Arabidopsis thaliana: one gene and its partners. The protein of the gene in region 1 interacts with the protein of each later gene in a pairwise test. Each region holds a gene or a part of one and is shown in the gene's direction. Other genes may lie near its edges.

What was found.
Region 2: the proteins of SNRK2.4 (region 1) and ABI5 interact in binary tests that used the Arabidopsis thaliana proteins (3 or more experiments, as listed by UniProt).
Region 3: the proteins of SNRK2.4 (region 1) and UFO interact in binary tests that used the Arabidopsis thaliana proteins (3 or more experiments, as listed by UniProt).

What each region holds. Positions count from the first base shown.
Region 1 is NC_003070.9:3,656,847-3,660,679, reverse strand, and holds the start of SNRK2.4 (Protein kinase superfamily protein), read left to right. Parts: upstream 1-2,071; 5' UTR 2,072-2,509; coding exon 2,510-2,629; intron 2,630-2,866; coding exon 2,867-2,941; intron 2,942-3,055; coding exon 3,056-3,157; intron 3,158-3,249; coding exon 3,250-3,273; intron 3,274-3,347; coding exon 3,348-3,401; intron 3,402-3,495; coding exon 3,496-3,588; intron 3,589-3,668; coding exon 3,669-3,761; intron 3,762-3,833. Other genes in the region: TMN1 (transmembrane nine 1), read right to left, coding at 1-58, 163-355, 1,269-1,358.
Region 2 is NC_003071.7:15,205,665-15,209,264, reverse strand, and holds the start of ABI5 (Basic-leucine zipper (bZIP) transcription factor family protein), read left to right. Parts: upstream 1-1,628; 5' UTR 1,629-1,904; intron 1,905-2,604; exon of another isoform or gene 2,605-2,686; 5' UTR 2,687-2,693; coding exon 2,694-3,600. Other genes in the region: AT2G36290 (alpha/beta-Hydrolases superfamily protein), read left to right, coding at 1-16, 93-398. UniProt on the Arabidopsis thaliana protein: Participates in ABA-regulated gene expression during seed development and subsequent vegetative stage by acting as the major mediator of ABA repression of growth.
Region 3 is NC_003070.9:11,034,227-11,038,059, forward strand, and holds UFO (F-box family protein), read left to right. Parts: upstream 1-1,765; 5' UTR 1,766-1,953; coding exon 1,954-3,282; downstream 3,283-3,833. Other genes in the region: AT1G30960 (GTP-binding family protein), read right to left, coding at 3,529-3,613, 3,700-3,833. UniProt on the Arabidopsis thaliana protein: Component of SCF(ASK-cullin-F-box) E3 ubiquitin ligase complexes, which may mediate the ubiquitination and subsequent proteasomal degradation of target proteins. Considered as a meristem identity factor required for normal growth of the young floral meristem.

The sequences.
Region 1 (3,833 bases):
TGCTTGACCTTAGCTTCATCGAGTTCAAGCGGACAGATGACACTTCTCTCGACATTCTCTGTGGAAAAAACAGAAAAGGTATTGTAACTAGAGAATAAGTACGAATGTACGATAACTGTTAACTAGTATGAAAAAGAAGCTTGTATAAGAATTGAAACGTACTCATGAATTTTATCGCAATCTCACTGTCAATCAGCTCATTTCCACCTAGAACTTCACCAAGACCACCCCATTTGTGAACATTGTTTCCAGATGGGCGGCAAAATGGAAGACTGTAATAGTTGTATGTTTCTTGTGGATTGTTATATGGGCCAACTTTGTTTACCCATAGGGTGACCTGCTCCTCGGCTTGATACTGAAAAAGGTGAAGGCAAAAAAAATTGACTTGACAGAAAAGCACAGAAATGTAAAAGTTTATGGGATTAACTAGTAAGAGAGAGTAAGAACCAAAATTCCATTAGAGAGAACAGAACAAAATGTCAAACGTAGACAGACAGATACTGATAAAGGCTACGTTCAATATCATTTCAAAAATCAGGAGTTAAAGTCTTCACACAAATGATGGTTCCATAGAAATAATGGCTCTTGAATAATGCTACCAGATTGCTCTTGAATAATGCATAACCCGCCTTTATCTATCATCTTTCACGCAGAAAATATATAGTTGGAATCGACTTTAAATGTCACACTACTTGCGAGCGTAAGAAGGCAGAGGAGCAAAAGCATTAAAGCTAGATCTCATGATCTCCAATATCACAAAAGGCAATAACAATTTTGAGCTGAAACTGACCATCAGCAAAAGAAGCCATGTGTGACACTTTCAGTATCACATTTTAGATACCAATTGAAAAAAATCATCAACCCGACCTCGGAACTATAAGATCTACATCTCGAAGATGCTAATACATTAAATGCCACTCAATTACAACACAACTCAGTGTTGATCCAAGTATTTGAACATCAAACAGGCTACCACGTGCAGAAATCAACGAGAATCTCAAACCAACATCAAAATTTCTTATTAAAATCGAGATTGTGAAAAGCCTAAATCACAATGAATAGACAAAATACGCCTAGACTTGCAACGAAAAGATACGCCTAAATCACAATGAATAGAAGCTCGAGGATCCTAGCAATCCGTAAACGAACAGATCCATGAAAAAAAATTCAATCGCAAACACCATGCAAATCACGGATCTACGGACACAGTGCTCGATTTCGAGCTGCATTAAAAGAAAAGAAAAAACGACTGGAGATCCGAGTCTTACCTTGTGATCTGAATCGGATGCGAACGTAGGAGTGAGAAGGGAAACGAGAAGAAGGAACACGAGGACGGCGGCGGAGGAGGAAGACGGCATCGTGAAAACCGGCGGACGATCAGATCTGAGGAAGGACGGAGCGAGAGATACCAATCGAGAGAGAGCGAGATCCTCAGCTCAGTGTTTTCACTTTGTAGAGATTTTGGGTAATACAAAAACAACGATAAGGCTTACAACTTCTTTTTTGCTCTATTAATTAATTGGGCTTGTAGTACTAAGAAACGTATATTAAGTTTAAAACCCATATAAGGTCTTTTAATGTTTGCTCTATTAATTGATTGGGCCTTTCGTTCTAACAAGTGTATATTAGTTTAGCGGCCCATATAAGGTCTATTAATGTTTTCATATACGCGCACGAACTATGTCATTTCAATTAAAATATACACTCACACATGGGAACATAACTTCTTCTTTTTTTGTATATATGTTGAAAAATGTTAAAAGTAGATGAAAATCATGACATAAATTCATTAAAAGGTTACGTTTGAGTGACAATCTTCATAGAGAAAAATGTGATTTATGGACAATGACTCTCTCTATATAGAACCAAAAGAATCTAAGGCGAATTTGCTTGCTGCTGACCACTCGTGTCGTGTAAATAGTGTATAGTTGAAGTGTTGAATTAGGGAGAAAAAAAGCGCGTTGGTGACAAAAAAAAACGTAGTTATACACTCGAATCAGCAAGGGAAACAAACATGTATGGATCGCATGGAAACTTGTGGGTCCCTCTTTCTTTTAAAAAATCTCGTATTAATTAAATAAATGGAAAAAAAAACATGATGGGAGTTTGTTTAGGCAGGGGAGATTCTTCTTCATTCTCATCATTATTTCTCTATTAATTTCACCCCAAAAAAGAAAAAAGAAAAATTCCAACAAGAAAAAAAAAAGAAAAAGAAAGTTGATTCTTCGCTTAGGCTTGAAATCTCTCCAATCCAAATCTCAAATTAACCTTCCATCGTCATCTCTTTCCCTTTTTTTTTCCCACTTTCTTTGCGAATCGCGAGATCTCGGAATCGCATCCTTGATTTTGGGATACTGTTTTTTTTTTTTTTAATCTTGTTTCATTTTCACGTGAAATTCTTAGCTGCTAGAACTGGACTTGAATTTCAACGAGAATTTTGGAGATTTTTTTTTTGTTTGGGTTTTTCCTTTCTGTTTTGTGTGTTTGGAATTAGGGTTGTCGAGCGAGAATGGACAAGTACGAGCTGGTGAAAGACATAGGTGCTGGGAATTTTGGAGTTGCCAGGCTCATGAAGGTCAAAAACTCTAAGGAACTTGTTGCCATGAAGTACATCGAGCGTGGTCCTAAGGTATATTCCTCTCTGTTTTTGTGTTTTCATTGCTCTCCATGAGCTGGTGATCCTATACCCAGATATGCATAATTGGAATGAATTGCTATTAAGCAGAAGAGTCGATTTTTTTTTGTAAATTTCTTATCGTTAGCTGATTGGGTGTTTAACGTAACGTTAGTTATCTTGTAGTTGTAATATTTTTCCTGAAAAGATTTGTACAATGAGTATTTGCTTTGTTTGTTTTTTTTGATACAGATTGATGAGAATGTGGCAAGAGAGATCATTAATCACAGATCACTTCGCCATCCGAATATAATCCGGTTCAAGGAGGTTAGTGAATTTCTTGTTGCTTGACATGGGTGGTGTTCTTGCTATGAAAAAGTTTGTTGATAATCTCTTATATCTTTCATCTTGCATTCCTTGTTGGGTTTATGGATTTTATAGGTGGTGTTGACTCCAACCCATCTTGCCATTGCCATGGAATATGCTGCTGGTGGTGAACTATTCGAGCGTATATGCAGTGCTGGAAGATTTAGTGAGGATGAGGTGAGCTTGCCATTTGAAAAATTGTGCTGTGCTTTTGCGAATATGAAATTACTAGTATTTAGGATAATCTGCATGGTCTTTGGAAAGATTAGGAGGAAGGGAACAAGAGAAAACATGTGAACCTCCTTTTATTTAGTATCAGGCATTAAACAGTTAGGGTCTACGTTCTAATCCTTTCTCTCTTTTCCAGGCGAGATATTTCTTCCAGCAGCTTATATCAGGTGTTAGCTATTGCCATGCTATGGTAATGTAGAGACAATGACTTAAGCAAAATTTACTTATCCATTGGCTGTTTGAAGTCGTTTTTTTTTAATCATGTGTTGACTATTTTGTTGCAGCAAATATGCCATAGAGATCTGAAGCTCGAGAATACGCTCTTGGATGGAAGTCCTGCTCCACGTCTGAAAATCTGTGATTTTGGTTATTCCAAGGTCTGACACTAAAAAAAAATCCAAGTTCCCCCCTTGTCGACGAGATCCTCTTTTGTGATTTGTTATTCTCTTTTTTTTAGTCCTCTCTGCTGCACTCTAGGCCCAAATCAACAGTTGGAACTCCAGCATATATTGCACCTGAGGTCCTTTCTCGAAGAGAATATGATGGCAAGGTAATCAAGCATCATGCACAATGCAATGAACTTCCATAAACCCATGAGTATTTATGATATTGTCATGCTCTT
Region 2 (3,600 bases), on another chromosome or scaffold:
AAGGAGCCAACATGAGGTATATACAACATTCTTCATGACTTCTTTTTCTTCACCTACCTATTTGCATTTATCAAATCTAAGTCTCTATGAAGGCACAAATAAGGCAACAAGGAACACACGAGACATTGCACCGTGACATGATTGTTGGATTTGGAACTTGGGAGTTCGATCCAATGGAGCTCGAGAATCTGTTCCCGAACAATGAAGGATCAGTGCACTTGTGGCAGGGAGATGATGATGTGCTTGTCCCTGTGACTCTGCAACGTTACATTGCGAAGAAGCTGCCATGGATCCATTACCATGAGATTCCTGGAGCAGGGCATTTGTTCCCGTTTGCTCCAGGTATGGTTAATAACATTGTTAAAACGCTCTTAACCAATGATGGAGTGAAGAAGTAAACGATGTCTTCTCTCTCAAAAAGTTGGCTAGTTTTGGTTTTGTAACATGCATTGCTATGATATTTTGAACCGGGATCAGAGAGATTCATGAGAATCTCAAGTTTCTCTTGGTTGCTGATATATATTGTGGGTGATTAGTAAAGAGTTCTGGTACCTATGTAAAACATTCTCAGCATTCATCTCAAAAAGCTGTTTCTGTATATCACCCAATTTTAGGCTAATGTCAACTAGTTTAATATTAGGCTTAGACAGCCATTAATTGTGAGATGTGTCAGAACAAAATTAGGTGTATTAATTGAATTATGGGCCACTTGTGTTTGTGTTTGCATGGTCTAAAAACAATCAAAGGAAAAAAGTAACTAAAGAGGCCAATATGATAATTAATAGTTAAGTTTATATAAAACCGCATTAGGCTAATTAGCATCAATCCGACCTTAGCTCAGTTGGTAGAGCGGAAGACTGTAGTAGTTGCTGTAATCTTTAGGTCGCTGGTTCGATTCCGGCAGGTCGGATAATCTTTTTTATTTTTGTTTTTAGTTTTTTGGCTATTAGAAACACTTGATAAATTAAGCATTTAAAATTCGATAGTCCTTATGCAGTGAATAGTCCACGTGCACTCCCAATGGAAGTTCGGAATCATGTTTTTTTTTTTTTGTCAAAGTTAAATAAAATATCTTCGAAAAAAAAAGTAAAAAAGGAAGAGGATAATTTCTCGACTTTGATTTGTTTTAATTCTTTAATAAGTTTTTGTCTCACTAAACGTAATTCTATTCAAAATCTAACAAGTCTACTTTCACCAGCTAGAAGCTCAACGACAAACAAGTGTTTACAAACTTTGACTATTTCTTTCATAACATCTTGAATCTAACCTAAATATGTTTTTACCAAAGTAAATCAGTATTGATCAATCAAATTAATCCGTCAATTTCACAAAACAAATCATGAACCAATATGTAAAAAAAGATCACACTTTAATTCGCTCTTCTAATCCAAATTTCACGTTCTTATTATCTTATATATGCTTAAAAGAGAGAAAATCATGTCTAGTTTTAGACGTAAAAAAACATTTGTGTAGCCGAAGTCACACGTGTCGAGCCTGTGAGAAGACACTGCAAGAAACAGAAGAGAGACACGTGCAGGACACGTGTCGTCCGCAGCCGAACGGATTCTTTGTCTCTGATCATGGGCCTGGACCTGGACCTGTCTAAGTTAGCATTCCATTGGTCGAAAGATAACTTTAGACAAAAGATGTTGACCTTCACGCCTCTCTTCTTAGACCCCACGCGCCACACTCTCACGGTGAGAACATAAATATCAATCTCTCTTTTACCGCCTCCTACCCATTTATCTCTCTCTTTCTCAAAACCTTTCAGTCAAAATTCTCCGGCGGCTTTTAAACTATGTGAAGGAGGAGAACCTCCATAACAAGAAGCGGATTCTCTCAGTTTTCCGGCGGCGGAGGAACACAAAGCCACCGGTTTTTAGACACACAGATTTCATTTTCAGGTTAACACTTTTCTTGTTTTATAATTTTTCAAGATCTTGGATTAGAAGACTGTTAAATAAATCTATCTCTTTATTTATAAGTTTAGGTCTTCGTTTTCTGGTCCTTACTTATCTGCGTATTACCAAATATTAAACTTTGTGGTAAAGTGATACTTAGTAATAGACGGATATAATGATGACCCAAGCTAATGATTAATTTATTTTACTAATCATCAGGTTAAGCTCTAGATTATCTTTTGTTTAAAACCGTATTAATAAATGATTAAAGAGGAAAAAAATCTTGTGTTGATAAGTTCGCTTTAAGAAGAAAACGAGTGGGTTAAGATATTTTCCTCTTTTGGTAACGAAAACTTTATTGGAAGAGTAAATTATTAGTTTATTTATTGCTAATTTTAGTATCGTTTGTCGCTGTCACGATGTGGACCGTTCTTCTTTATTTTCACGTGGACCGACTTAATTACCTTCTTTCATTCTTGTTATTTCAATATTTTTTACGTCATTTAAACTCCACTTTACCAAAATAATTTATTTCATTCTTTGAGAGCATCAATTATCAAATAATTCAATTGTCTTTTTTCGTGATAGTTGAATAAGGGACAACTATTAAGTGAGTTTCGTGAATAGCTGAACAGGGACAAGTAACTGAAGTTTGGTCAAAATAATACGATGAATTTAATATATAAGAGACAAAATTGTTATTGTCGTTTAGGTGGTATCCATATTTCAATATAGTTTGTGTGAATACAGATATAAAAATGGTTATTGTTGTGTATATGATGCAGTTGTTAAATGGTAACTAGAGAAACGAAGTTGACGTCAGAGCGAGAAGTAGAGTCGTCCATGGCGCAAGCGAGACATAATGGAGGAGGTGGTGGTGAGAATCATCCGTTTACTTCTTTGGGAAGACAATCCTCTATCTACTCATTGACCCTTGACGAGTTCCAACATGCTTTATGTGAGAACGGCAAGAACTTTGGGTCCATGAACATGGACGAGTTTCTTGTCTCTATTTGGAACGCAGAGGAGAATAATAACAATCAACAACAAGCAGCAGCAGCTGCAGGTTCACATTCTGTTCCGGCTAATCACAATGGTTTCAACAACAACAATAACAATGGAGGCGAGGGTGGTGTTGGTGTCTTTAGTGGTGGTTCTAGAGGCAACGAAGATGCTAACAATAAGAGAGGGATAGCGAACGAGTCTAGTCTTCCTCGACAAGGCTCTTTGACACTTCCAGCTCCGCTTTGTAGGAAGACTGTTGATGAGGTTTGGTCTGAGATACATAGAGGTGGTGGTAGCGGTAATGGAGGAGACAGCAATGGACGTAGTAGTAGTAGTAATGGACAGAACAATGCTCAGAACGGCGGTGAGACTGCGGCTAGACAACCGACTTTTGGAGAGATGACACTTGAGGATTTCTTGGTGAAGGCTGGTGTGGTTAGAGAACATCCCACTAATCCTAAACCTAATCCAAACCCGAACCAAAACCAAAACCCGTCTAGTGTAATACCCGCAGCTGCACAGCAACAGCTTTATGGTGTGTTTCAAGGAACCGGTGATCCTTCATTCCCGGGTCAAGCTATGGGTGTGGGTGACCCATCAGGTTATGCTAAAAGGACAGGAGGAGGAGGGTATCAGCAGGCGCCACCAGTTCAGGCAGGTGTTTGCTATGGAGGTGGCGTTGGGTTTGGAGCGG
Region 3 (3,833 bases), 7.4 Mb from region 1:
ATGTAAATTGATATATTTGAGATTTGTATGAAAGCTAGTTTTATTTTCCCTAAACAAGAAGTTCATTATCTTGGACTTGGAGGTTTTAGAGTTTGAAAGAGTTTACAATTTATAAGAAAAAATAATCACTATATATATATATATAGTGTATATAATGAATTGTTTCACATTAAATTGCAACAACATCAAATAAGGGTAACATACTAACATATAGTTTGTTTGTTTACTCTTTAAAAAAAGGGGATAAACTAAGAGCTATTTCTGCTATAATTTAGGAACAAACTGGATCACATGACAAAAATGCATCATAATTCATATTAAATTTTGTGTATATCTATTTCTCATGTTTAGAAATAACATTCTTGTGTGTTATACATGTTATCAGTTTTTCTTCCTAGATGGAAGTTTTATTGTTGGAGTCTTTTAAAACCATACTCACTATGTTCCTCTTTATTTGATGTTTTGGATTTTAGATAGAAATTAATAAAAAATATGTTTTCTATTTTTATAAAATTATTTTTTTGTTAGTTTAGTAATTTTATTTTTCTTTTTTTATTATTAGTCACAAGCAAAAATAATAACAATATTTTTATAAAACATTAATTTTGGTCGAACAAGTAAAAATAACTCAAAACATCAAATAATTAGAAACTAAAAAAGTAGATATTGTCAAATTTTGTGTTGAGTTCGAATAAGATAATGTGGTCTCCTCCAACAAAATTATTTAGAATAAATGCACTTCTATGACATTAGAGAACCAACTAATTTATTTAGAATAAAACACACATATATATTAACATATAAAGTAATTCTAATTGGCTTGATATAATATATAAGTAAAAAAATGATCTTAATAATCTCTAGTTTTCTTGGGTTGATCTCCACGAGTACAATTTGACTGACCATTATAGAAGTTGAGAAGCGTGCATGTAATAAAAGTTGTATATTACAAATTAGAGAGGAAAAAGAAAGAAAGAAAAAAGATTTGAAGATGTGATCAAGTGTGAAAAGTATTGGAGTAGTCTCCAAATTAATAATTTCGATGCTGGGCATTGACAAGATAACTCTGAAGCTCTCAACTTTAAGACCATCACTTCCTCTGCCACCATTTTCACGTTTACCCAAACACACACATATACAAACAAAATTTTGTTAGTCAATAATTATCACCAAACTGGGGTTATAACAAGGCTTTTGGATACTTGTGCTTGTTGATGTTCTAGGTTCGTATGATAACAAAGTACATCCGTTATATATATTCGAAACACACTTTAATATTAAAAATATATATCCAATTTTCTTGTGAAATTTAGATTATTTGGAATTAAACCTATTTCTCTTGTCTTGGCCACTTGACCGGTTTAGTTTTTTAGACGTATTTTATTATTTCTGTTTAGAAAATAACAACATATATCAACTGATTTTTTACTTCCAATCTCTTTTTGTCAGCACACAAATAGAAAAACGTCTGTAAGCTAAGCTATCAACTAAAACATTAACATATATAATCTTTTACGTTGATAGAAAATAAACATAAATTTCTGAGTTATTTTTTTTTTGGTTGGTGTGTCACTACTTACTTACTACTATACCTTTTTAACAATAAAGAAACACTATTTCTTTTTCTATTCAATATAATATATGTTTTCTATTTGTATAAATCCATTACCTTTGTTTGTTTTATACCAAATGTTCTTTATATATAAGTATATGCCACCTTACTCTATTGAAGTCAAGAACATATCAAAAACCCATGCAAGAAGCTCACAGAGAAAGACCAAACACTTTTGTCTCTTTCTTCAAAACTTTTACATATGATCTTTGCCTCTTTTCCTACAATGGGTTTTGCATAACTTTCACCAAAACCCTCCTCAAAAGCCCTTCACATATTCCCAACACAAGAAAATAAACTCTAAATCCACTTTCACCAAATCTTTTCATTTTTCAGCTAAAATGGATTCAACTGTGTTCATCAATAACCCATCTTTAACCTTACCTTTCTCTTACACATTTACCAGTAGCAGCAACAGTAGCACAACAACGAGCACCACCACAGACTCAAGCTCCGGTCAATGGATGGACGGTCGGATTTGGAGCAAGCTACCACCTCCTCTTCTTGACCGCGTCATTGCTTTTCTTCCACCTCCGGCGTTTTTCCGGACACGTTGCGTCTGCAAGAGATTCTACAGTCTACTTTTCTCCAACACCTTCCTCGAGACATATCTACAACTACTTCCTCTCCGACACAACTGTTTCCTCTTCTTCAAACACAAAACCCTAAAGAGTTACATTTACAAGAGAGGAGGAACAAACGATGATGATTCCAATAAAGCTGAAGGCTTTTTGTTTGATCCTAATGAGATCCGATGGTACCGTCTCTCTTTTGCTTATATCCCTTCAGGGTTTTATCCTTCAGGATCATCAGGAGGGTTAGTGAGTTGGGTCTCCGAAGAAGCTGGTCTTAAAACCATTCTCTTGTGTAACCCTCTTGTCGGATCCGTGAGTCAGTTGCCACCAATATCAAGGCCAAGGCTTTTCCCTTCGATAGGTCTCTCGGTAACACCAACCTCTATTGATGTTACTGTCGCTGGAGATGATCTCATATCTCCTTACGCTGTGAAAAACCTCTCATCGGAGAGTTTCCATGTCGACGCCGGCGGATTCTTTTCCCTCTGGGCGATGACTTCTTCTTTGCCACGGCTTTGTAGCTTGGAATCTGGTAAGATGGTTTACGTGCAAGGCAAGTTTTACTGTATGAACTATAGCCCTTTTAGCGTTTTGTCCTATGAAGTTACTGGAAACCGGTGGATCAAGATTCAAGCTCCGATGAGGAGATTTCTCAGATCTCCAAGCTTGTTAGAGAGCAAAGGGAGGCTTATTCTTGTAGCAGCTGTTGAGAAAAGCAAGTTGAACGTTCCCAAAAGCCTACGACTTTGGAGTTTGCAACAAGATAACGCCACATGGGTCGAGATCGAACGGATGCCTCAGCCGCTCTACACACAGTTTGCAGCAGAAGAAGGTGGAAAAGGATTCGAGTGTGTCGGAAATCAAGAGTTTGTAATGATTGTGTTAAGAGGAACCTCGTTGCAGTTGCTGTTTGATATAGTGAGAAAAAGCTGGCTGTGGGTCCCACCGTGTCCTTACTCCGGCAGTGGTGGCGGTAGCTCAGGTGGCGGTTCAGACGGAGAGGTCTTGCAGGGTTTTGCTTATGACCCGGTGCTTACTACACCGGTGGTTAGTCTTCTTGATCAGTTAACACTTCCATTTCCTGGAGTCTGTTAGTTTTTAGACTTTAAGATAAAGAGACTACTTGTGGTTTCCACTTCTGACGTTAAGACTGCTTGTTGTTTTCTCAAAATTCTGTTTCTTTTATCTTATTACTGTCTGTATGTAGTAAGTTTATATTTCTAATGTCAAATGTCTAATCTTTGACAACATGTCAACAACATATACAGACAGATTTCTAATTGCGTACAATCCAATCCTAAATCCATCAAACTCAAAAACATAACCCTTGGGAGAATGGTTTCACTTGAGCTTAACCTGGAGAATGAGATGAACTTTGCGGTTCATTATTCTCCTGAGTTCTTCATTGGCCTCAATTCCTATCCTCCTGCAAAATTAGCATCAACATAAGATCATCCTTGAGTCATTGATTAGTCAAAAGAATGAATTATGAACGATCTTGTATGCTCTTACCCGATCTTGCAACCGCCCTTGCCTACAAGAATCTTGCGTTGGCTAAGTTTAGGAGTGATGAGATGCTGTTCAATTCTAAGAGACCCGTCACGCAGCTCTTTCCAGTCCACTAGACGGTGCTCCAGACCATATGG